Macaca fascicularis: one gene and its partners. The protein of the gene in region 6 purifies or fractionates together with the protein of the main gene of each other region. This does not show direct contact. Links are inferred from orthologs where the notes say so. Each region holds a gene or a part of one and is shown on either strand. Other genes may lie near its edges.

Region 1 (4,307 bases), on a different chromosome or scaffold from region 6:
GATTCTGTGGCATTCTTTGGAAGAGATCATGGTTGTATTCATAATATCTGTACTCTTCATGTGCACGATCTCCAAGTGGCCGCTTTCTCTGACCATCAAAAAAATTGTCTGAATAATAATATCGGGAACCAGAGTCTCCATTTTCAACAGCAAAACTAACTTCCGTTACAAACGACTGAGAAGAACCATACTCCCTAGGGACATCTGCTAGACTTCTGGCAAGATAAGAAGGTGCAGATAATCTGTTGCTTTCTCTTCTCATTATTTCATGAGGTGTTCTCTGAATTGGAGTTCTAAGGAAACTCTGGTTTCTTGAAACTACTCCATCTCCAGAAGTTGAAAAGGCATTAGGGCTTGAATCTGGAAGACAGATATCAGTTCGTCTTGGAATTGTTGGACCATGCCGGATGAAAGAAGGCATAAGATCTATAATAAAACAAAGAATAAAATTACCCTTTCATCAGTAAGTAACAAAAGTTTTCGAAAGTTGTTCATTTACATCTACCACCCCAAAATCAAATGTCAACTTAAAACACAATTTTAAATTTTGGTTTAGGATGGTACTTGGGCATTTTAAACTGAAGAAGGTTAATATTTTCCCAATCAAATGAATTTATATAACTTGCATTAATATGCTATGTGTAAAAGCTCAGCTAGAATGAAATGTATTCTGCATACTACCATACATAATATGATAAAATGCCAATAATCTTATCTGTGAACTACACATTAATGACATGGTCATGAATTAATGAATAATAGGAAACAATCTAACAAACTGATAGTTTCTAGTTAATTAAGCTAGTAGTTTATTTTGTTGTTCTCACTTCATTTTAGAAACTGCCAAAAATCCTTCTTGAAGCAAACACAATTTCAAAAATAAAATAGAACTTAATGCTACTCCCAAGTATGTAAAAGTGGATTCCTTTAAAGATTAAAAAATTAGTAGCTCTTTCTTCTCTTGGAATTACCTAGCACTAGCACAGTAATCAAAAGCTAGAAAGCCAAAAATTTACGTATGAAAATTGAAAAAAGCTCTCATTTCAAAGAGGCACACAAATGTTGAATTGGCTCAAAAAAACCAAGCCTGAAACTATGTAATTATAATTCAAAATAGTAGACAATAGAACAATGGCTTTTAGGATACTGTACTTTTAAACACGAAACTTGAAAACAGCTTAAGACATTTCTAGTTAGAAAGCAAATACCTTTAAAACAAGAAAAAACCTGAATATGGAGACCCTCTTATTATTCATTAAGTAAACAATATTGGAGACACTCATATTAATAAGCTTCAGAAACTAACACTGGACAGAAACAAATATCCGAATAAATAAGGCTCAACACTTGATGTAACGACAACAACACAAAGTATATCAAAAGTTATTTGCTTAATTGTGACAAACATGAATAAAACTGCATGTTCTGCATATGTACCCCAGAACTTAAAGTATAATAATAAAAAAAGTGTGACAAACATGATTCACGATTTCAAGTAATGTTTGATAAACTTTATTTGTAGCAAACAGCAAGCTATCACTTAAAAACAGCCAAAAACCTAACAGCATGTGTAACTGAAAATCAAGTTTAAAAAAAAAACTTAAAAATCAAGTTTCCAGTTACTGACATGCTCAACTGACATATATTTTGTTGAAAGTATTGCAAGTACTACTATAAATCTGGAAGGCTGACAATGTGGTTATAATGGAGAACATGCTCTCCCATCTGTGTGATCTTGGGCAAATACTAGAAACCTAGCATTCCCAATTACAGTATGAGGTAATACTTAAGTCACAAGGTTACTACCAGCTTCCAAGAAGGAAACTTACGCAAAGGGCCCGGGGCGCAGTATAAGCACCAAAATACCAGCTCCATGCCTCACAAATGTCCTGAACACACAATAATTAAAAATCCAAGAGATTCAACTCAAAAATCAAATACTTAAATTAAGAAGAAAAGTAGCGGGGGATCGGAGGTGGGGGTTGAGGGTGGGATATACCCTATCAAAAAAAAAACACTTTTCCGGGGGTGGGGCGGGGGACGGTGGAATTTCTCTAACACGATAGAAATAATTTTGAGTTGCCTTTTTGGAATCTCACGAATATAGCCAAATACAAAGGCTTTTGGCTCTCTGCTCTGGGATGTGCTTTGGGTGGCAGCCACAAGAACTATGGTGTGCTTTTCACCTTCTCAAGTCTGCATCCGGCAGCAGGACTAAGGAATTCTGCCCCAGAGTTTGCACAACTTGCAGCACGGTCGAGAGACACCAACAATGTTTGCAAACATGAGGCACATCTCGACGCACCCAGAAGAATAAAAAGTGTCCCTGTCTAATTACTCATTAGGTTATAAACAATTTAAGTGTTTTCTAGTCTCTCTTCCAGTACTCAAAACCAACAACTCTCTGCCAGGCGGGGTGAGGAAGTCTGTTATTTTTAGGGGGGTGCTCTTGGCGCGGTTAGGCGCGGGGGGACTAACCCAAGTTTCTTAGTCTTACGGGCTTTCAATCAACGAATACCACTTCAGGCACAAGAAAATCTCAAAACCAGTATTTCACAGCGACCAGCGACGAAGGAGAAGCCCTGGGGACCCGCCGGCGCCCCCGCCCAGGTCCCCGCAGCCCCCGGCCGCCTGGGCCAGGTGTGGGCGCGCCCCGCCTGACACTCACTCCGAAGCAGAGGCGACGTCTCCTTCTTCACGTACTTCCCCTGCACCTCGGCCGGCTTGGACACTTCGTTTTTGGTTTTCTTTCGGGACAGCATCCTTCTCGACGAGGCCCGAGGCCGCGCTGAGCTGCCTCCCTAGGGCTCCGCGCCGGGCGCCGGCCGTCTCCGCCGCCACCTCCGCCGGCGCCGGCGCCTCCTTCCCTCCTGAGCCGCCGCCTCCGCCGCCGCCTGTCCGGAGCCCGGGGTTGCCTGCAGGGACTGCCGCATGTTCAGGGCGCTAAGCGCGCCGGCCGCCGCTCAGTCGCTGGTCAGTTCCTTCCCGGAAGTCGGCCCGCTCTGCGACGCTGTTCGGGGACGCCGTGAGAAAAGCCCAGCGACGCCAGGCCAGGGCCATGGTTCGCCGCGGGCCGCCGGGCAACCGCTACCACTACCGCCGCCGCCGCCTACATCCCGTAAACTTTCCCCGCGGCCGCTGGGAATTCTGGGAAGCTCGACGCAGCGCGGGCCACCGCCGCCCCTCCCCCACCACAGTCCCGGCGCGGCTCCGGGGCGGGACTCGGGTGCGGGGGCTCTCGGCTAACGGGCGGGTCCCACCGAGCCGCGGCTGTCCTCACTCATCCTCAGCGAGAAGCAGGTCCTGCCGACTGAGAAGATGAAGGACGAACCCTGCCTCGCTGAGACCGGGAGCTCGTCGCATGCGCAAGTCGTGAAGCCACTCTCCACGACAGTTTTTTTTTGTTGTTGTTTTTGTGTCCTCCCAAGATTTCTAATGGAGGCAGTGACTCCCTTCTCCCAAGACGGGTGTTCTTCTTAGTGTTTCCAAGGCTGGTGAATTCAGTTCCGTAAAAAATGTGGAATGCTAACCATGACCCCCAGGGTAGTGCTATATCATACCATCTATTCTGCTGGAAGCGTTCATGCTGGTTAACTAGAAATAAGTTGATCCTCTACTGAGTATCAGGGAGTGCGTTTTTCTAATAACAGGAAAAAACGGAAGAATGCAAGATGGAATTTCCAGTACCTCTTTTTGAGATACATTTGGTGTTAGCATATTGCAATTATTTTATTGCATCATTATCATTAGTATGATTAATAGCCACGTATTTCCTCCTGACGTTATGTGTTACGATCTTAGAATTTTGAGGACTTTGACCACTGCAAGTCGGGACCGGGAATTTTCTATCTAAAATAATAGACTCTACTTCCTTCTATATAACTTAGCAAAACTGCCATATGTACAGGATAACATTTGGAAAATAAGATTGGATTCATCCCCTAGTGACCAAATTCAGGCTTTAATAATGAAGAATGCTTTCCCTGAGATCTAAAACATCTCACAAGAGATCTAAGACATGTCACAACAAAAGACATGGAATTTTTTTTACCACATAACATTAAAAAGATGGTCAAATTTTGTTTTACCATGAGCAAACAAATGAGACATTTAATCTAGGGTCTGTCTCCATATGTTCCCTTGATGCAGATCTCCCCCAATTCATTCATTTAGCAATAAATACTCATCACCCACTGTGCTAGGCACTGTGCTAGGTGTTTGTGATATAGCCATAAGCAAAACAGACAAAAATTCCTATGTCATGGGAAAGAAAAAAATGACGAAAAATAAGCAAAACATACTATGTT
Region 2 (3,815 bases), on a different chromosome or scaffold from region 6:
TGGAAAACCTTCTCCTTTCCCATGGACTCCCACTGATTGCTTTTCTCTCTCTCTGTCTCTCTCTCTCCCCACCCTCCTCTAGGTGCTCTGGGGCCAGGTGCCACCGGCCATTGTCCAGGCAGCTGTGTGCAAGCCAGAGAAGCATGAGGACACTGGAAGACTCCTCGGGGACAGTCCTGCACCGCCTCATCCAGGAGCAGCTGCGCTATGGCAACCTGACTGAGACACGCACGCTGCTAGCCATCCAGCAGCAGGCCCTGAGGGGTGGGGCAGGAACTGGGGGCACAGGGAGCCCCCAGGCCTCCCTGGAGATCCTGGCACCAGAGGACAGTCAGGTGCTGCAGCAAGCCACCAGGCAGGAGCCCCAGGGCCAGGAGCACCAGGGCGGTGAGAACCACCTGGCAGAGAACACCCTCTACCGGCTGTGCCCACAGCCCAGCAAGGGAGAGGAGCTGCCCACCTATGAGGAGGCCAAAGCCCACTCGCAGTACTATGCGGCCCAGCAGGTGGGGCCCCGGCCACATGCAGGGGACCGAGATCCCCGTGGGGCCCCCGGAGGCAGTCGGAGGCAGGATGAGGCCCTGCGGGAGCTGAGGCACGGGCACGTGCGCTCCCTGAGTGAACGGCTCCTGCAGTTGTCCCTGGAGAGGAACGGCGCCCGGGCCCCCAGCCACATGAGCTCCTCCCACAGCTTCCCACAGCTGGCCCGCAGCCAGCAGGGCCCCCCACTGAGGGGCCCCCCTGCTGAGGGCCCAGAGTCCCGAGGACCCCCACCTCAGTACCCTCACGTTGTACTAGCTCATGAGACCACCACTGCTGTCACTGACCCTCGGTACCGTGCCCGCGGCAGCCCGCACTTCCAGCACGCTGAAGTCAGGTAACTCTCCCCACCTTGGGCTTTCCAGTTCCTGGCTTATCCTCCAGCACAGGCTGTCAGGGAGGAGAGCCTCAAGATCACAGCTTGTGTCAGAGCTGGCCAGATCCCCACCCCACCTCCAGGCTTCCTGAGAAGGGAGAGCTATTGCCTGGCAGAGAAGAGAGATGTAACTGAGGTCCCCTAAGAAGTTAGTGGCGTCCCTTGCCTTAGTTCAGAGATAGGCACCATTGTCTGCTGAGCTTGAGCATTCTAGTAACTACCGTCCCCAGAGGACACAAATCGCAACAGGCGGTTAAAGGTTAGATTTCAGAAATAACTTCCTAAAGGCAAGGTTGGGAATCATTGCCAAACTGTTTCCAAGTTAAGTAGGAAGAAGGTGGGACCTCCTTCTCTGGAGGCTTTTTAAGAAAATGTGAGCAACTTGCCTTCTATGATTATTGGGAGGCATTCCTAACTAGAAGCTGGAAAGGCCCGGTGGCCTCATTACAGACGTCTCTGCATCTTACACCAGCGCAGGAGCTTCCCTGTCTCTCCTCCCCATTTCCTGCCGTACGCTTCCTGCATCTGCAGCCTGCAGTGGGACAGGATTCTGGGTCCGGGTGGGCCTCTTTCTGGGGAGGCTCAGGAGAGGCTGCTGGGTCAGGGCAGGGACTTAGAGTTTGATTCTGAGTATGCTGGGAGGCCCTCGGGGGATGTGATTTGGTTTTCCTTTTCTAAGTGCTCTTTCTGGCTACCATGCAGAGCATGGTTTGTGAGGGGCCAAAATGGAAGCAGGAAGACTTGGGGGAGGCAAGAAGTCTAGAGAGTTTGGAGAAATGAGTGTTCCTAGAAACAAGGCCCCACCTCAGGCTTCTCATCTGGCCCGCATCTTTTCAGAGAAGCAGACACAGCCATCACTGCTGCATCTCCCCCTGTGGGAGTCCAAGAAACCCCACCAAGGGACCCCAAGGATTTCAGACTCTTCCTCTGGTGGCCCAAGGTCAAAGTCTGGTTCTCTTCATGCCTGCTGAGTTTTCCTTTAGTCACCCACTTTCCCACCGTCCGGCCTTTCCTTGCTCTCGAGAAATGTGTGACATGATGGGGTTGGTATGGCGGAACAGAGGATGGAGCCTCTTGGTTTTTCTCCAGCCTCCACCCCCTCCAGACTCGCACCTTATCGCCCTTCTCAGGGCTCGGTCAGGAAGAGTTTCGGAAGCTGAGTGGTGGTTTCTTCTTTTGGACCAGCCTTATTGAACTCTGTCAGGAAAAGATAGTAATCGTGGCAAGGAAGTAGACTGTTTGCAGGAGAACAAAAAGCGGGGGAGGGAGAGGACGGGGAGAAAGGAAAGCAAGTGTGAAGGGAAAGGAGTTGCTATTCTTTCTCAGAGCCAAGTCATCCCGAAAGAATGCCAGTTGTGTCTGCCTGGCCCAGTGCAGGGGGGAGCAAGTTCTTGAAGCAACCTTGAGAATGGCCATTTTAGCAGTGGAATGGAGAGTTTGAGTACTCCAGTGGGGACCCTCTTCCCAGCTCTTACTGGAAGCCCCATCTTAGATAGTAGGAGAAATACATCTGCCCAATATCCCCTTTCGGATGATCTGATGAAGATTATTTGTTAGGAACTTGGGGCTAGACTCCTAGCCTAGGGTCCTGAGAAGAGCAGGGGGGCCATAGGCTGTATGGGGGCAGGAGGCAGGGGCAGGCTGGGTGTGCATGAGTGCTGACATGATGCACCTAGAAGGAGAATTTGGGTTTTGTGGGGCTTCTGGGACTTGGAAGAATCTTTGTGAAACTGCGGCAGTTGTGACACTGGGAATCACAAGGTCCCAGAAAGGCTCTTGAACTCCCCGTGCCTCTCGCCCTTTGCTCCTTCCCTCAATACGGAGCCCTATGGGTGATGTTACACCAGTGCCAGAGGCCAATAGAACATTGTCCCCTGAACTCAGCAACTACAGTAGTCCAGAGGCAGCCCTTACTCCCAAGGAAACCCAGAGTTTGGGCCACATTTATTCTCTAAACTGAGGGTAAACCGAGGTTCCTACTAGAAGAGATGGAGGATGGGCCACCACTACAGGAGCACCTGCCACCCACCCAGCACCGGCCCCGCACTCTGCCAGGCCTTACATAGCATCATCCTCACAAACCCTGGCGAGGCTGGAGACCCTCATGATGCAACAGAGCAATGCCCTGTCTGTGGGGCTGAGGCACTTGCCCAAGGTTAAACAACTGGAGCAGGGATTTAAACCCCTATTTGTCAGACTCTAGAGCTCAGACTCTTACCCTGACATCTGTCTCACTGTTCTAACCTTAACTGGAGTCTTCTAAAAATGATTCTGGGTGGGTGGGGGCTGGGGGTAGCAGGACTTGAAATAGAAAGGAGAAAATGAGTGCTGCTTTGGCAGTCTTGAAACTGGCCACTCATGTAATAGACATAAGGTTGCTGCTGGGGCCCAGCCACCAAGTTGTCCTGGGCCCTGGAAGGTTATATGCTCAGTCATGATTGACATGGCCTCCAGCCCCAAAAAGAACCTTCCATTGACTAGAAGTGTCAAGGTGCATTTTTCAAGATGACATATTTAAGCATTAGTTGCTTAGGAGGCCCAGGATTGCTCAGGCTGATCTCCAAGGCCCCAGCCACTGTGAGGCGGGTATGAAACAAGCATCCTGACATTAATCCCCTCCAGCTCTGCTGTCTGACTCTTGAGAGCCTTAGGCAGAAACATTTGGAAAAGGCCTTCCCCACTGGTCCCTGCCTACCACTTGAGGGTTGAATAATTATCTGCAGCAATTTTAATAAATATTAGTTATGAATAATAACCATCTTCCCAATATGCCTAGGAATGGGGCGACTCTGGGCTGCTCCGGGTGGGAACCATAAGGGTCTGTGCTGTCTCTGAGCACCGTCTCTTCTGTTTCCCAGGATCCTGCAGGCCCAGGTGCCGCCTGTGTTCCTCCAACAGC
Region 3 (3,815 bases), on a different chromosome or scaffold from region 6:
AACCATCAGAGCCAAAAGGAAGAAAGGAACTCAGAGAAACTGCAATAAAAGAGCAGGAAGAACATAGGTGTAGATATGCTGGGTTAGATGAGGTAAAGCCAACATGCCTGAGCAGTTTCATTTGCTCTTCCCATAATGTCCAAGGTTTCCTAAAGAACGGCTCTGACGGGACCCCCTGGCATGGCAATATTGGGGCAGATCTTCACTTCCATGAGGAAGCCACATTTTGAATTCAGAGATGGGGGCCCCGTCTCCCTGGGAGTGAGATTGCCTCCTTTGACAACCCCTACATACCCCTTGTGCCTCCAGCCCCAGCTTGACTGTACCCTCCTCCTGCCCCTAGTAGGGGCCCTCTTCCTTGGCTTCAGCTTTGCCCAGCTGCCAGAGGGTGGGAGCAGGACAGGTCTGGGCCCATCAGTTGCTGCAGCTGCTGCACAGGCTCCCAAGCCCCTGGGCAAAGACTGGGATGGGCCCCAACAGGCAGGGAGTGTGGCAGCCTGCCGAGGGGGAGAGGTGGGGCGGGCCCGTTGGGATCTGCTCCCCAAAGACAGGCCCTAGCCCTCACTCATGGGCCTGGAATTGGGGAGTGGAGGGAGGGAAGAACACACCCAGGAAAGGCGAGTCCCAGAGCCAGGTGTATGTATCTTAGCGGGGGACTTTGGAGAATAGCAAGCAGTTCAGTTCTGTGTTCTTCCCAAGATAGAAGGTGACTAGGAGGCATCAGGGGCTCTGCTACTCTCCCTGCTTTCCTGTTCAACCCTGGTTCCTGGAACACACCCTACATTCTCAGCAGTCACCTCCCCACAGGAGTCATGCTCACATGGTCCCCTCTGCACAGAGCCCTCTGCTGAGCCAGATCCTTTTCTCCATCCTTGGAAGTCTGCAGCAGAGAGAAATCATTCTATAACTGAACAGCTCGTTTGACTGATGGGAAACTGAAGTCCCAGAGAGGCTTTCTGGGCCTAGCCTGCTTTCTCTAGAAAGTTTTTTCAAGTCTGCTGCTGAGCACCTGTGGACCGGCATCTTTGGCCATTCATCCTACACACTGCAACAGAGATCATACCTTGCCTGTATAATCTTTTCTCCCCAACAGAAACTAAGCATCTGAATGCCAGGGACCATATCTCTGACCTTCTCCAGGTTTCCTCAGGTAGTGGTGCTGTGTTAAGCACAAAATAGATGCTCAGAAAATATCTGTTGAGTAATTAAACAAGAATGGATCTGCTCAACCAAGATCTTGCTACATGTCATTACTTCTTATCTTCTCTTCTCAGAAGGGAGCCCATCAAAGGGAGACTGTGACCCCTGGCACATCAGGAAAGGGCAGTCAGGAAAGCTTGGGAATCCCTGGTTTTGACCTGGGGGAGTAGAGTGTGACACTCTTTTCTCTTCTCAGGCACCTGTATCAAGTGCAACAAAGGCATCTATGGGCAGAGCAATGCTTGCCAGGCCCTGGACAGCCTCTACCACACCCAGTGCTTTGTCTGCTGCTCTTGTGGTGAGTGTAGCCCCAACACTCAAGCACTCCCCTCCCCTGCCCACATACACACAAGTGCTATAGGGAACAGGAGGAGAGCTTTTGCCTCTTCATTTGCTCACAGAGCAGCTGTTGGATCCCCACCAAGTGTCTGGAGGTCCGCAGCTGCTCCGCCTCTCTTGCTTCCTTGTCTGCCCTCTACTTAGCTCTCCCTTCCCCTGGTGGGTCTCCTTTCTGGAGTCCCTCCTTCCTTCCTTACCTCTGTTTCTCCTTCTCATGCCTCCTTGCTTGCCCATCCTGGACTCGCCTGGCCCTCCAGCTTCTCGGTGGGGCTTGGTCTTGGGCAGCCAAGTTGCCTGGGGCGACAGTGAAAGATTGGAATGTGGGGAGGGTGGGGGCAGGCTGGGGGAGTGGGGAGCTGCTGGGGGCGGAGAGGGGGGTTTTCTCTTGGCTGGTCAGAGTTCAGCCACCTCACTAGAGTGCAGGCCACCGGGCCATGCCAAGCTGATGACATCACGCTCCAGGAATGCCTGCCACTGTTAGCTCAGGAGGCCCACTTGGAAAGGGGGGATGCTCCCAGCGGCCTTAACTGCCCCCCTCCCCTCCCTCATTACCCCCTCCTCCCTGCTAACCCATTCTGATTCCTTTGCTAAACCTTTAATCTCCTATCTCTGCCTGTCTGACTTCAGCACTCAGCTTTTCTCACTCCCCCAGTTTCTGCCTGGTTCTCTTTAGGCTCATCTGTCTGTCTATCCTTCTGTTTACAGGGCCTCTTCTGGCTATATCTCTTTCCCTCTCTTTCCTCCCCTGTGTCTCATGAGCTTCTAAGTCAGCTTTCCTAACCCACTGGACAGAATTGGAAGTGGGGATTTTGAGGGGAAGAAGGCAAAGGTGGGAAAATTGCTCATGCTCCACCTGTTCTCACTCCTCCCCTATCCCTGATAATGTAGACACCTGGGAGCAGTTCCTGGGGGTTGGTCACATGGGGAATGGTCCTGCCTTGTCTGCTAGAAGAAGATCCTGGGTTGTCTCTTACCCTAGAGACTCTGGGTCCCTCTAAGCTTAGGGAAGCAGCCTTAAACAAACAGGAAAGGGGACCTGCTTTGCTTCCAAACAAAGCACTTTGTCCTGCAGTAACTCCAGTCCTGACCTCCATAGAGTCTGTCCCTGGAAGGAGACAGATAGGCCTTTGAGAGCAGGATAGACATGCTCAGGTGAAGAGGCTTCTAGGTTGAAGGGTCCCAGAGGGCAAGGCCTGTAACAATGTGATTCTCTCTATGCAAATCATATAGTACCTTATTAAGAGCTCATGTATTCCAGCATGTAGTTGGCTTTACTCTCCCAGGTGGCTTCCTATGCACTGGAGAGGAAGGCAGTTTGTTTAGGGGAGGGCCCTAGAAAACTGTTAAGGAGGCAGGAGCTGGAGGAGCAGCAAGCAGAAGAGAGGGGAAGTTGGCTGGAATGAAGCCAAAGCAAATTGGAATTGCATCAGATGGAATTTTTGTGTGGGGAAGAAGGACAGACAGCAGTTAGGAGGAAAAGTACAAAGTCCAGGTTTAAATATATTATGCAGCACTGGGGAGCAGTGACCCCAGAAGTCTTGCACCTGGGCTGTGGGATAGGTTCCAGCCCCTTTTCTGCTGTTTCTAGGGCGAACTTTGCGTTGCAAGGCTTTCTACAGTGTCAACGGCTCTGTGTACTGTGAGGAAGATTATCTGGTGAGTAAGGGTCACCTGGACCTGGAATTGGTTTCCATACTGACCCCCTTCTTGGTGGCCCATTGGAGTACCACCCATCATTCTCAGTTTGATAACAGCCTCCCTTTGTCTTGTCTTTTACTTTAGTTTTCAGGGTTTCAGGAGGCAGCTGAGAAATGCTGTGTCTGTGGTCACTTGATTTTGGAGAAGGTAAGTAAAGTGCCTTCAGCTGAGAACTCTCACTGTGAGGCTGAGGAGTGGAATCAGGGACTAAATGGATACTGAGAGAAGGTTGGGGGAAGAAGCCTGTCACCAGATGAATCACTTTCATCCCATTCCTCCCCAGAGCAGCTGTTTACAGTGGCTTCTCTCTGCCTATGGAATCAAGTCTGGGCTCAAAAGCCTGTCAACCCAGGCTTCTGTAACCTGGCCCCTTCCTAATTCTGCAGGCACAGCCAGGCCTTCCAGCCTGAGCTAGGAGTGTGGGGTCCTGAGTCTTTTTATTTATTTATTTATTTATTTATTTGAGACCGAGTCTCGCTCTGACATAGTGGCATGATCTTGGCTCACTGCAACCTCTGCCTCCCAGGTTCAAGTGATTCTAGTGCCTCAGCCTCCCAAGCTAGGACTACAGGCGTGCG
Region 4 (4,277 bases), on a different chromosome or scaffold from region 6:
CCGAATAACTGTGACCACTGGTACACCCCATTATGCCTGACTAATTTTTCTATTTTTGTAGAGACAGGGTTTCACCATGTTGCCCAGGCTGGTCTCGAACTCCTGAGCTCAAGTGATCCACCAGCCTCAGACTCCCAAAGTGCTGGGATTACAGGCGTAAGGCACAACTGTGCCTGGCCAGGAATGAAGTTTTGATACATGCTACAATATGGGTGAGTTTTAAAACATGCTAAGTGAGAGAAGTCAGTCACAAAAGACCACATAATGTATACTTCCGTTCACAGTGTATATGAAATGTCCAGATTAGGTAAATCCATGGAAATAGAAAGTAGAGTAGTGGTTGCCAGGGGTTGGGAGGAGGGAGGTGGGTGATAAAGAGTGACTGCTAATAGGTATGGGGTTTCTTTTCCAGGTGGTGAAAATGACCTAGAATTATGGTTAGGCTGGGCGCCGTGGCTCACGTTTGTAATCCCAGCACTTTAAGAGGCCAAGGTGAGTGGATCACTTGAGGTCAGGAGTTCAAGATCGAGACCAGCCTGGTCAACATGGTGAAATCCCGTCCTTACTGGAAAAAAAAAAAAAAAAATAGCCGGGTGTGGTGGCGCACGACTGTGATCCCAGGTACTCGGGAGGCTGAGGCATGAGAATCACTTGAATCTGGAAGGCAGAGGTTGCAACGAGCCTAGATTGCACCACTGCACTTCAGCCTGGGTTACAAAGTGAGACTCTGTCTGAAAAACAAACAAAAAAAATTAGTGGTGATGGTTGGCACACTTTGAAAACATAAACAAAGCCGGAGGCAGTGGCTCACACCTGTGATCCCAGCATTTTGGGAGGCCAAACCAGGAGGATCCCTTGAGCCCAGGAGTCCAAGACCAGCTTGGGCAACACAGTGAGACCCCCGTCTCTGCAAAAACTTTGAGAAAATTAGCCGGGCGTGGTGGCACGCACCTGTGGTCTCAGCTACTCGGGAGGCTGAGGCGAGAGGATCACTTAAGCCCAGGAAGTCCAGGCTGCAGTGAACTGTGAACTCCAGTCTGGGCGATAGAGTGAGACACTTCAAAAAAGAAAAAACATAAACGAAAAGGACCACTAGAGGGTACATGTTTAAAGGATAGATTTTATGCTATGTGAATATATCTCAAGTAAAAATTAAAAATTTTAAAATTTGCAGGGGTAGGTAGCGCTTATAGAGGACCCTGCGCAACCTAGGGAGCTGGGTCGAAACTCAGCAGCACCAAGATAGACTAAGAGCAGGACTAGCCACTGCCCTTTCCGCAGGACCGCCGTCCTCGCCACGCCTCCCGGGGAGGGAGGGCCTGGCTTGGAGAGCAATGATTGGCCAAGTTCTAGGACGAGGCGGAGCGAAAGGGGGTGCGTCTAGTCCCTCCCGGCGCCGCGAAACCTTAGCTCGCGAGATTTTGTTGGTTCCGCATTTCGGGTCTGCGAGGTGGGGTAGGCGGGCAAGGCGGGCGCCGAGGTTTGCAAGGGCTCGCAGCGGCCAGAAATCCGGCTCCGAGCGGCGGCGGCCCGGCTTCCGCTGCCCGTGACCAAAGGACGGTCCTCTCCCTCTCGCCGGCTCCGAATCCTGATCCGGGCGGGGGCCAGAGGCCCCTCGCCTCCCATCTGAGGACCGAAGATGAGCTTCCTCTTGTGAGTGGGGCCGGGCCGCGGGCACTGGGGCTGCGGGCCGAGATCGTGGGGGAGGCCTCCCCGGACCTGAGGCGAGGGCTGGGCTTGGGGGCCGGGGCGGGGGCGGGGTAGCTGGCGTTTGTTTTGCCTCTGTTTGGGTCAGCGGGGGAGGCCGAGATGTTGGGAGAGGCCGACAGAGGTGAAGGTGAGGTAAAGGAAACGGAGCGTGAAGGTTGGGGAGTAGAAAGGCCCCGGGGCCGTAGCGCCTGCAAACTTTTCCGCCCGAGCGCCCCCGAGGGCGAGGAGACGATCTGGGGGCGGAGCCGCGAGCCCCCAGTTTCCCTCGTCTCGAGCTTCTAGAAACCGTCCATGCCGACTTAACTCGCCGCTCGGTTATAGGTCCAGTTTCAGTATTGTCGGTGTTGAATGCCGCTCCGGGAGAATGTGCGTTGCCGCAGTTTGAGAAGCCTGAAGTTAAGATGCGGGCCTTGGAGTCGGATCGTTCTGTCCAATTCTGATTCTGCCCACTTACTGGTTTTGATTTTAACCAACTTCTCTTGTCCTCGGTAGAATCGTGTGTTTTTAATCATTATGTAATATACCATACAACATTATTACATAGTACATTGCAGTATTATTATAAATAATTTGGAAAGTTAAAATTAAAACAAATTCATAGTCCCATTACAGAAACAGTATTGCTATTTCAGTGCACTACAGCAATTAACTTGATACACATACCTTAGAATCTCATTTTAGAGATAATGCCTGAGCCCAAACAAGGCTACAATGAAAAAGCTTGTAAATTCCCTCATGATTCTTATGCACATTAAGGTTTGAGAAGCATTGCTCTGGCAAAGTATTTTTTATTCTCGGGTGGCGCTCTCTACCTTGTATATTGCTTAAATGTGTGTTTCCTGATTGAGTAGTTATCCATTTTTAGTTATGGATGCAATCCACATGCTTGACATTTTTATTAAATACAATATAAAAACACTACATAGGTTTTTTTTTTATTTTATTTTATTTTTGAGACGGAGTCTCGCTCTGTCGCCCAGGCTGGAGTGCAGTGGCCGGATCTCAGCTCACTGCAAGCTCCGCCTCCTGGGTTCACGCCATTCTCCCGCCTCAGCCTCCCGAGTAGCTGGGACCACAGGCGCCCGCCACCTCGCCCGGCTAATTTTTTGTATTTTTTAGTAGAGACGGGGTTTCACCGCGTTAGCCAGCATGGTCTCGATCTCCTGACCTCGTGATCCGCCCATCTCGGCCTCCCAAAGTGCTGGGATTACAGGCTTGAGCCACCGCGCCCGGGCGGTTTTTTTTTTTTTTTTTAATAACCAGAGTTCACCCACTTTATTGTGAGAGACTGGGATTCCTTCCAGTATTTGCTTTTATAAAATAGGACTACTAAGAATATGTTTATCTGCGTCTCATTTTCCCTCCTTTGGGTTATTCTCGTAAAGGAATGGTCTCTAAAATACGATTACCTTGTCAAAAAGCCTGTATGATTTAGATTTAATTTCCATATTAATAGAAGTATTCCTCCCTCCACTTTTTTCTTACGAGTTGATATTTAGTTAGTGAATGCACAGTTGCTTTGTGGACCTTAATGTGAGACTTTTTTTTTTTGAGACCGAGTTTCGCTCTGTCACCCAGGCTGGAGTGCAATGGCACGGTCTCGGCTCACTGCAACTTCTGCCTCCCGGGTTCAAGCGACTCTCCTGCCTCAGCCTCCCTAGTAGCTGGGATTACAGGCGCCAGCCACCACACCCGGCTCATTTTTGTATTTTTAGTGGCGACTGGGTTTCATCATGTTGGCCAGGCTGATCTTGAACTCCTGACCTCAGATGATCCACTCCCGCACCCGGCCGAGACTTTCTTTTTTTAAAACTTGACCTTCTTGATGGGCGCTTGAGTTGTTGCCGCTTTTTGGCCATTATGAATAATGCTGCTGTGAACATATGTGACAGGTTTTTGCGTGGATGTATGTGTTCATATCTCTTGGGTATATACTTAGGAGTGGAATTACTGGCTTACATGGTAACTGTGTTTAACCTTTTGAGGAACTGCCAAACTTTCAAAGTGCTGCACCATTTTACATTCCCATAAGCACTCTATGAGGGGTCCAATTTCCCCACACCTCTCATAGCACTTGTTAATTTTCCTTTTTTAATAGTCATCCTAAGTGGATGTGGAGTGGTATCTCCTGATTTTGATTTGCATTTCCCTAATGACTAATAATGTTGAGCATTTTTTCGTGTACTTATTGGTCATTTGTATATATTCCTTGGAGTAAAGTCTATTTAGATCTTTTGCCTGTTTTTAAATTGGGTTGTCTTTTTGTTTTTGAGTTGTAAGAGTTCTTTATACATTCTAGATACAAGTCCTTATCACATCTGTGATTTGCAAATATTTTCTTCCCTGTTCAATATAATTTTTTATCACGTTAAAAACGTTTCAGATTTGATTTTCAGTGTTTTCATAATTCTTTTTTACTTCTTTTTTTAAATTTAAAATTTTTTTTTATTTGAGACAGGGTCTCACCTGTTGCCCAGGCTGGAGTGCAGTGGCACCATCTCAGCTCACTGCAACCTCCACCTCCCGGGTTCAAGCAATTCTCCTGCCTCAGCCTCCCAAGTAGCTGG
Region 5 (3,815 bases), on a different chromosome or scaffold from region 6:
AAGAGAAAACAAAAATATCCTTCCAACAATGTGTGTTTTCTACAGTTTAGGCGAGAAAAAGGTAGGAAAATAATAGTTAACCAATGTATAGGACTCTCCTGATAGGCGGTCACAGTGGTCCTGGAGCATACGTCCAAGGTGACTATCCTAAATGCCTGTGGGAAACTGCATCTTCATGAGAGACTTGCCCAGACGCCCTCTTGTGTTGCCTCTGCTGTCCCGCCACCAAATGCTTTGCTGGTGTCTTTCCAAGCAGAGAGGAGGTGCTGGAAGGTGAGCGTAGGATGACTTCCAGGTCAGCCCTTGAGTCTTTTTGCCAAATAGCACCTGCCAGGGCACCCTTCCTCCCGGCCTCAGCCTGCCTGCCTCTCACCAAGGGCCACGGCATCTTTTAGGAACTGGAAAGTGTCATTGACAGTTGGCGGTTTTTATGTGTGTATTTCTGCCTAAAGATTTTGCTTTTCACTTTTCGCTTTTTCCACTGCATATTAAAATTTTTCTTTTTTGCCCTGTCTTTGTGTGTTTTTCCTTAGGCCGGAAGCTGAGAGGAAAAGCCTTTTATTTTGTCAACGGCAAAGTGTTTTGTGAAGAAGACTTCCTGGTGAGTGTGTCACCGCAGCCTCTCCTTGCATGTCCTGGCCAGAGTCAGAGGGCAGGGGCGTGGTGGGACCTGGGCCAGCGCACAGGGAAGCTGCACTGCTGGAGAGAGGGGCCCTGCCTTTCCTTCTGTAGATGCATGGGGGTGGCCGTGTTCCCGAGGCCAATGGCAAACCACACAGCCTTGTACTTTGAAGAAACTGTGGGGTCACTTGACCTATCCTCTTGCTGCTTTCTGTAGTTCTGCCTCTTCTACCATCCTGGACTCCTCCTCTTAGACCTCTGGACTGGGACCTGGGCTCTCTTCTTCTCATCCCACTCTCTCTGGGAATCTAGCTTCTCCCATGGACTGAAAGTTCATCCATGTGCCAGTGACTCCCAGACCTGAGCTCTAGCCCTGCTGCACCTCTGAGGCCAGCGGCTGGCATCCCACTGGCCCCTGGACATGTCCCCTGGGCTGTGTCCCAGCCTCTCACATACCAGCCGCTCACCATACTTGTGTGAACCAAGACCCTTGCCTTGGGTCCTGATCTGTGAGAATTGCCTCCTAGGTTTGTCCTCAACCCCACCTCCTTGAATGCAGCCAGGCGTTGAACTCTATGCTGCCATGTCTTCCACAGTTCTGCCTCCGTTCACACCTCCGGCATGGCTCAGCCAGCCTAGCTTAACGGCCTCCACACCCCCGCATCAAGAGGCCTTATAGGGCATAAACCTGGCCTGCTTGGTCCCAGCATGTGTAGGGTACAAAGCACGCTCAGAAGCTCTCCGAGGTCTGGACTCCCCAGCTTCCCACACCTGTGCAACCTCATGCCTTCATGCCTTTGCTTGGGCCATTTCCCCTGCTTGCAATGTCTTGCCCCTTTATTTTCCCAGAGCCCCCCAACAGCCTTCCTGTCCCTCCTGCTCCCACAATGGAGGAGCTCCTCTGTGCTGCCACCACGCCCGGGACCTGCCCTGGCAGGGCTGTGGGGTGTTAGCCCTGAGCATTATGTCTGTTTACGAGTCTCTCCTCCATTGACTGAAAGCTCCCAGGGCGAAAAGAACATGTGTCTTCACCTTCACACCTGCAGATTCTAACACGATGCCATGCAGAGTGGGTGCTTGATAGATAGTGGTTGAAATGACCCTGTCATCTCAGGGATGAGGAATGTGAGATGCAGAGATGGGCTCAGGGCCAGCTTCTCCCTGCCTTCCCTTGGGGAAAAGCTCTATTTGGTTTTCACTGAAAAGTTGATTCATTATGACTCCTGTTGGCCAGAAACAGACAAGCAAACCCAAACGGGCTTAAGTAAAAAGGAAATTATTCCAGCAGTGCCTCAGGAGTCATTTTCTCCACAGTTTTTGGTCCTGTGTCTCAGTGGTAGCTTCAGTCTCAGGTCCTGTGTGATGGCCAGATGTTGGCAGGACCCCAGAGTTTACGTTCTCTCAGTTTCACATCCGATGGGCAAGAGTGCCAGTCCTTCCTTTGGAATCCTCAACAGACATCTCCTGGAGTCTCATTGGCTCTTACTGGGCCACATGCCCACCTCTGGAAAAACTATCAGTACTGGAGGAATGCAAGGCTCTGATGGACCAGGTCTGTCAATGCCCTGCCTGGGCCCTGGCATGGAGCCAGCCCACATGGTGATGGGAGCCACGTGGTGTGGGGCCGGGGGCTGGATCCCAAATGAAAATAAAGAACTATTACCCCCAGAATGGGGCGTAGGTGCCAGACGACAGAAACCTCCACCACATGGTGTAGAGTTGCAGAAAGTTTCCCTTTTTCGTTTTTCCCACCTTCCTTTCATTAGGTTTCCCCCAGTTAAGTTGTGTTTGTTATACCCAAACTTCTAGTCTAGTGTGTAGCATCTAGTATGTTTTTTGAAGAGAGTACCTCATGTCTTTCAGGACTCTGTGTGTGTATGTGTTTAGGTAAGATAAGGTAAGGTAAAGTAGGTAATTATCAAGTTTCTTTGAAGCTAACTATAAAAGGTATTAACCAGAACCGGAGTTGAATTTGATTCCTGTCCTTACCGTTTGTTGGCTGTGTGACCTTGAAAAGGTCACTTAACCTCTCTGAGCTGCCCTCTGCTTCTATTTGAGGATTCTGGGTAATAATGTAGACCTTGCAGAATTGTCGTAAGCATTAGAGTGGTGGTTTGAGAATGCATCAGAATCCCCTGAAAGTCTTGTGAAAACACAGATTGCCAGAACCCACCCCCCGAGTTTCCAAATCAATAGGTCTGGAGTGGAGCCCAAGGATTTGCATTTTTTACAAGCTTTCAAGTGATGCCAGGGAACTGCTCTTTGAGAACTACTGAGATGGGATTAAAGCATCTCTATATACAGTCCCTTACATAGAGCCTGGCATGCTGTGGGTGCCCAGACACAGTCATTGTTAGAGTGAGTGGTACTAGTATTTGTGATGGCTTTTGTGGCAGAGAATATTCTGTGACTCAGCCCACAGCTGTGTTGTACTTGGGGAATGACAGAATTCTGCACAGAGTGACACATCTTTCTGAGAAATTCCTTATAATCCTCTTGGCTGGTAGGGAGGTGGCTGATTCGTCTTCCCAGTCTGGGTTTAACTTTCTTTTCTTTTTCTTCTGCAGTACTCTGGTTTCCAGCAGTCGGCTGACAGGTGTTTTCTTTGTGGACATCTGATCATGGACATGGTGAGTAGGTCAGCCAAAGAAGAGAACAGCATCTCAGGTGGAGGAGGAGGCGTTTAGAGAAAAAAGATATTAATAATTGAGGACAGTGTTTCTTATCTCGATTTGTGGTTACGGCTGGACGCAGTGGCTCACGCCTTAATCCCAGCACTTTGGGAGACTGAGGCGGGCGGATCACGAGGTCAGGAGTTTGAGACCAGCCTGGCCAATATGGTGAAACCTCGTCTCTACTAAAAATACAAAAATTATCCGGGAGTGGTGGTGTGTGCCTGTAGTCCCAGCTACTTGAGAGGCCGAGGCAGAAGAATTGCTTGAACCCGGGAGGCGGAGGTTGCAGTGAGCCGAGATCGCGCCACTGCATTCCAGCCCGGACAACAGAGTGAGAATCCACCTCAAAAAAAAAAAAAAAAGACGTCCCTATAAAGTGCAGCTTGCTTGATCTAATAGAACCCGCATTGCTGGCTTTAATTGGAATTAACGTCTTCAACCATCTAGAGCATATGATGTCATGTTTCCGGTAATGCTTTCTCCTCCCCTGGGCTGTTTGAATCACACTGGCCTCCCTCT
Region 6 (4,466 bases):
GGTAATGCCAGTAGAGCTCAATTGCAGAATATTGGCTGGAGACTTATTTTGCTCCTAGTACTGTGCAAGATATCTGGGTAGCATACAAGATACTATCGGGAAAAAAAAAAAAAAAGATACTATCAAAAAATGAAATTGAATTCTAAGCTGCACAATGGTTTCTTTTTTTCTTTTTCTTTTTTTTTGCACAATTCTGCTGGCAGGAAGGGATTACAGTTTGATTATCAGAGCCCAAAGAAGAGAGAAAACAGAGATCTGAGAAGATTCCCTGGAAGAGCAGAGGCCTTAAGAGACTGAAAGAGAGGAAGGAGGGGAGGAGGATGGACCAGGGACTGAAGGCTGGGTGAGACTGTCAAAATAGTGCACAGATAATGACCTTTATTACTGTTTCCCATGAGAGTAAAATTTAAAAATTTCACAAGAGTTTGTCAATTAAAGAGGAAATTGAGTTGACTTTAAAAACTATATTGACCCTCAGCATCACTTGCCACAGATGTAGGTGGTAAGAAGTACGATGTTAGGAGAGCCAGAAGTAGATTGAGTATTTGGCTTCCAGTCTATTATTTCTACTCTGAATCTTTGCACAATCCCTGCTTCTGTCCCTGTACCAGATCCAAAGTCCTCAAATGGATACTGGAGCTGTTCAAAACTCACGACCTCACTTGCTAGTATATATAGTACTACACTATTTCCTACACCAGAAAACACTTATCAGAAACAAAATATACACGGGGAGGGGAGGTTGATTACATTAAATCAGATTAAATTTGGGTGTGCATCAGACGTTCTTTTTTGTTTTTTGAGACGGAGTTTCGCTCGTTGCCCAGGCTGGAGTGCAGTGATGCGATCTCAGCTCACTGCAACCTCTGCCTCCTGGGTTCCAGCGACTCTCCTGCCTCAGTCTCCCGAAGAGCTGGGATTATAGGCATGCGCCACCACGCCTGGCTAATTTTGTATTTTTAGTAGAGACGGGGTTTCTCCATGTTGGTCAGGCTGGTCTCGAACTCCCGACCTCAGGTGATCCGCCCGCCTAAACCTCTCCAAGTGCTGGGATTACAGGCGCGAGCCACCGCTCCTGGCAGACGTTCTTAATTGTTTGATTCCACTGTCCCAATAGCCGTCTGTCCTTTCCTGCCCCTATTTTTACTGTCCCGCCCCTAGTTGGTAACTTGGTGGATCCTTCAGGCCTGCTTTTTTTTCCCCCCACCAAGACTGGTATGAGATACTTAAGAATAGTGACTTTAACAACAGTTACCAACTTTTAATACAAGTGCAGTCGAGAGGGCAAATACTCAAGTTTGGGGGCGGCTAGCAGAGAGTCAAATAGGTCCGAGAGGCCCCGGCGAGCTACCGCAGGCCAGCAGGGAGGCCGCGGGCAGGTGGCGGTCGAGGCCGGAGGCAGGAAGCGCGGCCGGGCGGGGCTGGGCGGAGCGGCCGCGGAGGAGCAGGGGCCGCAGGCGCCCCGCCCGGGCTGGTATGCGGCCGAGAGTGACGCGGGAGGCGGGGTCACGTGACGCCCGTGGAATGCCAACAATGTAGCGAATGTCCCACTTGGGTCTGCGCTTTGGAACCGCGGCGTGAGCGCCCCGGGAAGATGGAGCAGTCGCCGTCCACGCCACCGCCGCCGCCCGGGGCTCCCCCGTCCCTGCGGGGCCAGCAGCAGCTCCAGCCACCAGTGCCCGGTCTCCCGGCGCGCGAGGCCCGGGAGCCGCGGGCCAGGACGCCCCCGAGGGTGTAGACCGCGCCCCTGGAGGTGAGGGGGCTGGGGGCTGGGGTCGGGGCGGCCGCCGGGAGGGTGGCGAGAGTTTCCGCGAGGCGGTCGAGCCCTGCGGCTCCGCGCACCCACCACGGGGCCGAGGCTCCGGGAAGGGCGCCCGGCGGGGCGGCCGAGGAAGTTTGTCCGGACGGAGCCCTGCGCCCTGCCCCCACGGTCCGCGCCCGCCCGGAGCCGCCCCCGCCCGGCGGCGCGTCGTCCAGGCCGTGCGGAGCCCGCGGAGCCGGTTCCGGAGGAGCCGGGGAAGTTGGAGGCCGGCGTCGGGCGGGGGCAGCGGGGCTGCGCCGCTTTGTTGTGCGGCGGCGGGGGCGGCCGGGATCACGGCGGGGCAGGGGCGGTGCGGGCCGGGGGCGGTGTCCCAGATCCGAAAGGCCGTAGCGCCGGGCGCGCCTCTGCTTCCGCTGTCCCCGGGGGCTCGGCTTTCCACTAGACGCCGGGCCGGGCGCCCTTGACAGCCTCGGGACCCCCGCGTCCGGCCGCGCAGCGGTCCCACGGAGCCGGGGCCGTCCTCTCGGCCGCGCCATCGTCCCACGGGCCAATCAGTCGTTCGGAGCCCGCCCCGTTCGCCCCCGCCGGCCGCCCCGTCGTCCCGCGAGCCGACAGACCCACGGCCGTGCGGCAGCCGAGGCCGCGCCGCCCCTCAGCCCCCGTGGCTGCGCCGCCTCAGCCCCGGCCACACGTTCCCAACCCCGTTCCTCGCGGCCGCGCCGCCAGCCCGCGGGCCAGTCAGCCCCTCGGAGACCTCCGGACCTTGGGGGCGCCGTTCGTCCCGGCCGCGGGCGGCCAGGCCCTGCTCGGCGTCTCCCGGCCGGCTGCCGCGCCGACTCTGCGAGTTTGCTCACGGTCTTGGCGGGACGCGGCCCGAGCCGCGGGAGCGCTTTCGTGGCCACGCGAGCGGCGGCCGTTGCATAACACGCCATTCCCGTGCCCTAGTTTAGCGACGTGTCGGGGGCTTGGCTTTCTCCTCTGATGCAAGCTCACCTGCGCTTAGCTCGCAGCCGGACTCCGGAGATGGGGATTCTGACATCGTTCACATCTTGCCATCGCTGCCCAACTCCAGAAGTTCTGGGGAGCTTTCCCTCGGGCATGGAGTGCGGCCTGGAGCAAACCCGTTTGTAAAGTCCGAGTTTCCAGTGTCCCCAGGGGTGGGAGCGGGGGGCGAGGCGAGGAATGGACCCTGAAGAAGGTAAAACCCACCCGACCGGGGCGCCAAGCAGCCGGTAGCAGGGTCCCCAGTGAGCTCGGCGGCTGGCGGCTGTTCTGAGGCCTTTGGATGAGAAATGCTATTTTGCGAGGATAACTATGAAAGAACTTAACTTTCAGATTTTGTTGACAAAAATTTTGTTGTTGTTGTTTTGAGACAGGATCTCGCTCTGCCTCCCAGGCTGGAGGGCAGTGGCGCGATCTCAGCTCACTGCAACCTTCGTCTCCCAGGTTCAAGCGATTCTCCTGCCTCAGCCTCCCAAGTAGCTGGGACTACAGGCGCCGCCGCCAGCCCAGATAATTTTGTACTTTTAGTAGAGACGTGTTTCGCCGTGTTGGCCAGGCTGGCCCTCGAACTCCTGACCTCAGGTGATCCACCTGCCTCGTTCTCCCAGAGTGTTGGGATTACAGGCGTGAGCCACCCGCGCCCCACCTGACAAGAATTTTGAACAAGAACTTTCACATTTTCACGCTTCTCTAGGATGGATATGAGTGTTTTGTTGTTGTTGTTTTTTGTTTTTGTTTTTGAGACGGAGTCTCGCTCTGTCGCCCAGGCTGGAGTATAGTGGTGCGATCTCAGCTCACTGCAAGCTCCGCCTCCCGGGTTCCCGCCATTCTCCTGCCTCAGCCTCCCGAGGAGCTGGGACCACAGGCGCCGCCACCTCGCCCGGCTAGTTTTTTGTATTTTTAGTAGAGTCGGGGTTTCACCGTGTGAGCCAGGATGGTCTCGATCTCCTGACCTCGTGATCCGCCGACCTCTCAAAATGCTGGGATTATAGGCGAGAGCCACCGCGCCCGGCCAAGAGTGTTTTTAATGTAATAGCATTAAAAAAATTATTTCACCTTAACTACTAAGCCATAAGAGTATACGTTTGGCCGGTAAATAATTCAGATTAATAGCTGAACAGCTCTTTTCACAAAGTATTCCACAAATATGTACACTTTTAGAGGAAAGTTTGCCCATATTTTAATAACAAATATACTGAAATTTGAATGCGAAATCACAAAATGTGTGTGATCTTACACAACTGTTCTGCTTAAAATTTTAACTTAGAAGATGAGGGGCCTTCCCTTAATCATGGAAAAAGTAACTCATGGCTGATTATTGGGAAATTTGTACTAAATCTTGTATATTTTTGGTAAGCTGCTTTGTATGTTTTAAGTTTTTTTTTTCTGAAATAACCGTTGTAATAAGGTAGTAACAGAAAAAAAATTCCAAAATGAGAATGTATAAACTGTTTATGACGTCTATTTAATTGTAATTAGCAAGATGTGTTATTCAGTGTCTTACAAAATTTTGTCTCATGCAGGTATAGAAGGCACTGAATGTAATAATAATAATAGAATAATGAATATACCGGCATTCCTTTGAAAATAAGTTGGTGAGCATTTAATAACTTTCCAAATCCCAGGCAGGCAGTTTAAGGTATCTGAGCAGAGGCTATCCTGTCTTGCAAAATTACCAAGGTGAATTACTAGAATCAATGAA
Region 7 (3,246 bases), on a different chromosome or scaffold from region 6:
AAGTACAAGATTATGTTAGGAAACTTTTACAGTGTCAACATCCTGATTTCTCAAAATCTTCAGTAAAGGGCCAAAGGTCAAATCTTTCTGTGCACAAAAACTCAGTGTGACTGAAATCCTGAATCAGTGTCATGCCTAGGCATGCTATGCACAGAATGAATTTTAATATGCAGTCCTCTGTGAAAAAAAAAGGACAAAAAAAGTAACCAAAAAAAAAAAAAAAAAAAAAAAAAAAAACACCACAGGACAAAAAGTTCTTCTTAAATCAAATTCTATTTGTGAATTCAGCAAAATAATTTCTATAAAATAAAACAGCAAAATATTTAAATAGAATAGGGTGGGCTGTATCTGTTTGCAGGGTATTTGGTTTTTAGACAGGTTCCAAAAAATTACACACATTCAAGTTACCAATTCTCTTTTAAATACAGTATGAACTGAGGAGTTCCTTATTTGTAATCAAATGTTTATTCTGAAATTGTGATATCTCAATTATATTAACTAACCAGTAGTTTCTTTTTTAATGAGACCCTGCTTTGAACGTTAAACTTTTTGGAATAAGGGAAGAGGAGCTAGGACAATTCTTGCTTTCAAGTAAAATTGTGACTGAGCAGAAAATCAGCCAGCTATCTTGGTGCAGAGAGGTACTCCAAGTATCGTGGGGTTCTGATGACTTCCACGTCACTGGGATCCAGCAGAAGGAAAGTTTGAGAAGATTCACCTAATAAACTCTACCAAAGAAACAAAACAAGCACACCAAATACAGTCTTCTATTATGCTCCAGCATCTTGGCATAGCAAATTTTTGCATATTTGTTTTATATTTTTTAAAATTCCCATTACTGATACGTAAGTGTTCTTTATCCCACCCAGAGATTGAACTGTCAAACATTATACATAAGGAACATATGTGCAACTGAAAACAGCCTGTTTGTCACATTTCTCGCCTTGTTTTATATTTTAATATTCTAGGTGTAAGAAGTAAAAGCTCTGAGTAATACAGCTGTCACTTCTCGGACAACTGCTGTCATTATGGTAACTTTTTCCTCACTGGCTACACTAACTTGGTGTGAAGCCATGCTAAATGTTACAGCATAACTATAGCTTCAAAGTGATTAACCTAATATCAGAATAAAAAGGCAATGAAAAAAATCTAGAAACAGTGTTACATCACCAATTTTCCACATCAACCAAATAATTTAAAGGTTACCAGCCTTACACATTGCTCATAGCAAAATTGACTCCAGTGGCAAAGAATTAACATGAAACTATTGGTGTGGCTGACATGAATGGGCTCTGTTTTGTTGCTGTTGGGTTTTTTTGTAAAGGAGCTGAACCAACTGCCATGAGGCAGGCAACACTGGTTGCAGAGTGCAGTGGGTATAACAAGAAAATTAACTTTTGTAGTTTGTGTAGATCTGTGAGTCTCATCAAGAAAAAAGTTTCTTGCTTAAGAATTAACAGTCAACATTAATATACTATATACACCTTTGCCATTTACACATTAGCATCAGGCCATTTATTACAAAACACTATACACTTTCCACTGCAGGCGGGTTATATATTGACAGCAAATTTCTGCAGATAAGACAGTGAATAAACTCTCCACTCCATGTTGATTAGGAATAGTTTTTCTAGTTTTAAATATTAGCCAGACACAGAAAAAGGTTGGACTGTAAGGCCTGGGTGCACAGTCTTGATGGAACCAGTTAATTATGTGCATTTCATTGATCCTTGGCTTGAGGTGGGGATACTTCTTCACTGCCTTCATAATTTTCTTGTGCTCGTTGGCCAGTTCTCTGAGGGTTGTTCATGTGATGTGCTGCTGGGCCTGTATATGGCTGTCCATGCACATGGTTATTCTGGGAAAGGAGAAGAGATCTGCATGTTAAAACTTTTCACATAGTAAAACAACTTCAAAATCATGGTCTGAAGTCTCTGGAAATGTGAACTTTTATTCTTGGGACTTACTCTGTAAATACCGTTGGACTACTATTGTGCAAGAACAAAAACAAAAACAAAAAAAGGCTTGAAAGAGAAAAACATAATGTAAATGCAAACCCCCAAACCCTGAATAAGAGCAGTGATTGTGTAGGTCCACATACATCTTTGGCCAAAGTGATTTTTAGTGCCAAAATGATTTAGACTCAAGTCTGGCAAATAAAGGATTAACCCACTGTTGCTCTTGGTAAAAAAATGTTCAGAAAACAATCTATGAGCATCTATTGACTCTTCCACATGCTAAATCCAATTGACTAACCATGATACAAGATATACAGGAGTAGTAACCCTGAACTCACAATAATGCTGATTAAAAACAGAACAATGTTCAAGATGATAAAGTAACCAGGCATGATTAACATAAGAGCTTTCTCAGGGTCAAAGGAAGTTAACCTCCCTTGTGGATTTGGTTCCTTAACCTTTTAAAATGTCTGAACCCTACAGTGCTCTCATTTTTCTGTATATGCTCCATCAGCCACGCCAAGATTCTAGACTTTTTTTTTGAGATGGAGTTCACTCTTGTTGCCCAGGCTGGAGTGCAATGGTGCTATCTCGACTCACCACAACCTCCACCTCCTGGCTTCAAGAGATTCTCTTGCCTCACCCTCCCGAGTAGCTGGGATTACAGGCATGCGCCACCACACCCAGTTAATTTTGTATTTTTAGTAGAGACAGGGTTTCTCCATGTTGGTCAGGCTAGTCTCAAACTCCTGACCTCAGGTGATCCGCCTGCCTCAGCCTCCCAAAGTGCTGGGATTACAGGCATGAGCTACTGCGCCCATTTCTACAGATGAAAATACGTATGCTGAATGTGTACTTCCTAACTATTCAGTTTGCTTCTGTGTACACAGTGAAACGTAAGAAAGAATGCCTGAAATGTTTCTCCAAGTATAGTTCCTGGACCACCAGCAGCATCACTTGGGAACTTGTTAGAAATGTTCATTTTCCAGCCCCTTGAAGACCTATGAAATCAGACACTTTGGGATAGCGTCTAGCCCTCTGCTGGAGCAAGCCCTCCAGGCAGACTCATGCCTGTTCAAGTTTGAGTACCATTGCCTCACAAGAGCTGATTTAGTCACATTTCGGTTTCAGAAAGAAAAAGTTTTCATTTAGAATGTTTCTTCATCTCATTTCTTTTGCTATTTATTTACTAGTTTATTTACTTTATAGCTAATCACCTATGGAAATCTACCCAAATCCTTTTTTTTTTCCAGTGATTTTTACCATCATTGGAAACCAAGGACTTCTT

What was found.
Region 1: the proteins of LATS2 (region 6) and SAV1 purify together in Homo sapiens (affinity purification with western blotting; 4 studies listed by BioGRID, with this or other methods). This does not show direct contact. The link is inferred for Macaca fascicularis from reciprocal best matches to the Homo sapiens genes LATS2 and SAV1.
Region 2: the proteins of LATS2 (region 6) and AMOTL2 purify together in Homo sapiens (affinity purification with western blotting; 3 studies listed by BioGRID). This does not show direct contact. The link is inferred for Macaca fascicularis from reciprocal best matches to the Homo sapiens genes LATS2 and AMOTL2.
Region 3: the proteins of LATS2 (region 6) and AJUBA purify together in Homo sapiens (affinity purification with western blotting; 3 studies listed by BioGRID and IntAct, with this or other methods). This does not show direct contact. The link is inferred for Macaca fascicularis from reciprocal best matches to the Homo sapiens genes LATS2 and AJUBA.
Region 4: the proteins of LATS2 (region 6) and MOB1A purify together in Homo sapiens (affinity purification with western blotting; 9 studies listed by BioGRID and IntAct, with this or other methods). This does not show direct contact. The link is inferred for Macaca fascicularis from reciprocal best matches to the Homo sapiens genes LATS2 and MOB1A.
Region 5: the proteins of LATS2 (region 6) and LIMD1 purify together in Homo sapiens (affinity purification with mass spectrometry; 3 studies listed by BioGRID and IntAct, with this or other methods). This does not show direct contact. The link is inferred for Macaca fascicularis from reciprocal best matches to the Homo sapiens genes LATS2 and LIMD1.
Region 7: the proteins of LATS2 (region 6) and USP9X purify together in Homo sapiens (affinity purification with mass spectrometry; 4 studies listed by BioGRID and IntAct, with this or other methods). This does not show direct contact. The link is inferred for Macaca fascicularis from reciprocal best matches to the Homo sapiens genes LATS2 and USP9X.

What each region holds. Positions count from the first base shown.
Region 1 is NC_088381.1:118,599,680-118,603,986, forward strand, and holds the start of SAV1 (protein salvador homolog 1), read right to left. Parts: upstream 3,096-4,307; 5' UTR 2,763-3,095; coding exon 2,669-2,762; intron 427-2,668; coding exon 1-426. UniProt on the Homo sapiens protein: Regulator of STK3/MST2 and STK4/MST1 in the Hippo signaling pathway which plays a pivotal role in organ size control and tumor suppression by restricting proliferation and promoting apoptosis.
Region 2 is NC_088376.1:37,277,459-37,281,273, reverse strand, and holds part of AMOTL2 (angiomotin-like protein 2), read left to right. Parts: intron 1-82; 5' UTR 83-143; coding exon 144-877; intron 878-3,774; coding exon 3,775-3,815. UniProt on the Homo sapiens protein: Regulates the translocation of phosphorylated SRC to peripheral cell-matrix adhesion sites. Required for proper architecture of actin filaments.
Region 3 is NC_088381.1:90,726,206-90,730,020, reverse strand, and holds part of AJUBA (LIM domain-containing protein ajuba), read left to right. Parts: intron 1-1,396; coding exon 1,397-1,498; intron 1,499-3,127; coding exon 3,128-3,195; intron 3,196-3,321; coding exon 3,322-3,384; intron 3,385-3,815.
Region 4 is NC_088387.1:47,773,423-47,777,699, forward strand, and holds the start of MOB1A (MOB kinase activator 1A), read left to right. Parts: upstream 1-1,426; 5' UTR 1,427-1,639; coding exon 1,640-1,653; intron 1,654-4,277. UniProt on the Homo sapiens protein: Activator of LATS1/2 in the Hippo signaling pathway which plays a pivotal role in organ size control and tumor suppression by restricting proliferation and promoting apoptosis.
Region 5 is NC_088376.1:108,570,814-108,574,628, forward strand, and holds part of LIMD1 (LIM domain-containing protein 1), read left to right. Parts: intron 1-533; coding exon 534-601; intron 602-3,188; coding exon 3,189-3,251; intron 3,252-3,815. UniProt on the Homo sapiens protein: Adapter or scaffold protein which participates in the assembly of numerous protein complexes and is involved in several cellular processes such as cell fate determination, cytoskeletal organization, repression of gene transcription, cell-cell adhesion, cell differentiation, proliferation and migration.
Region 6 is NC_088391.1:852,360-856,825, forward strand, and holds the start of LATS2 (serine/threonine-protein kinase LATS2), read left to right. Parts: upstream 1-1,512; 5' UTR 1,513-1,753; intron 1,754-4,466. UniProt on the Homo sapiens protein: Negative regulator of YAP1 in the Hippo signaling pathway that plays a pivotal role in organ size control and tumor suppression by restricting proliferation and promoting apoptosis.
Region 7 is NC_088395.1:41,218,263-41,221,508, reverse strand, and holds part of USP9X (ubiquitin carboxyl-terminal hydrolase 9X), read right to left. Parts: intron 1,859-3,246; coding exon 1,721-1,858; 3' UTR 1-1,720.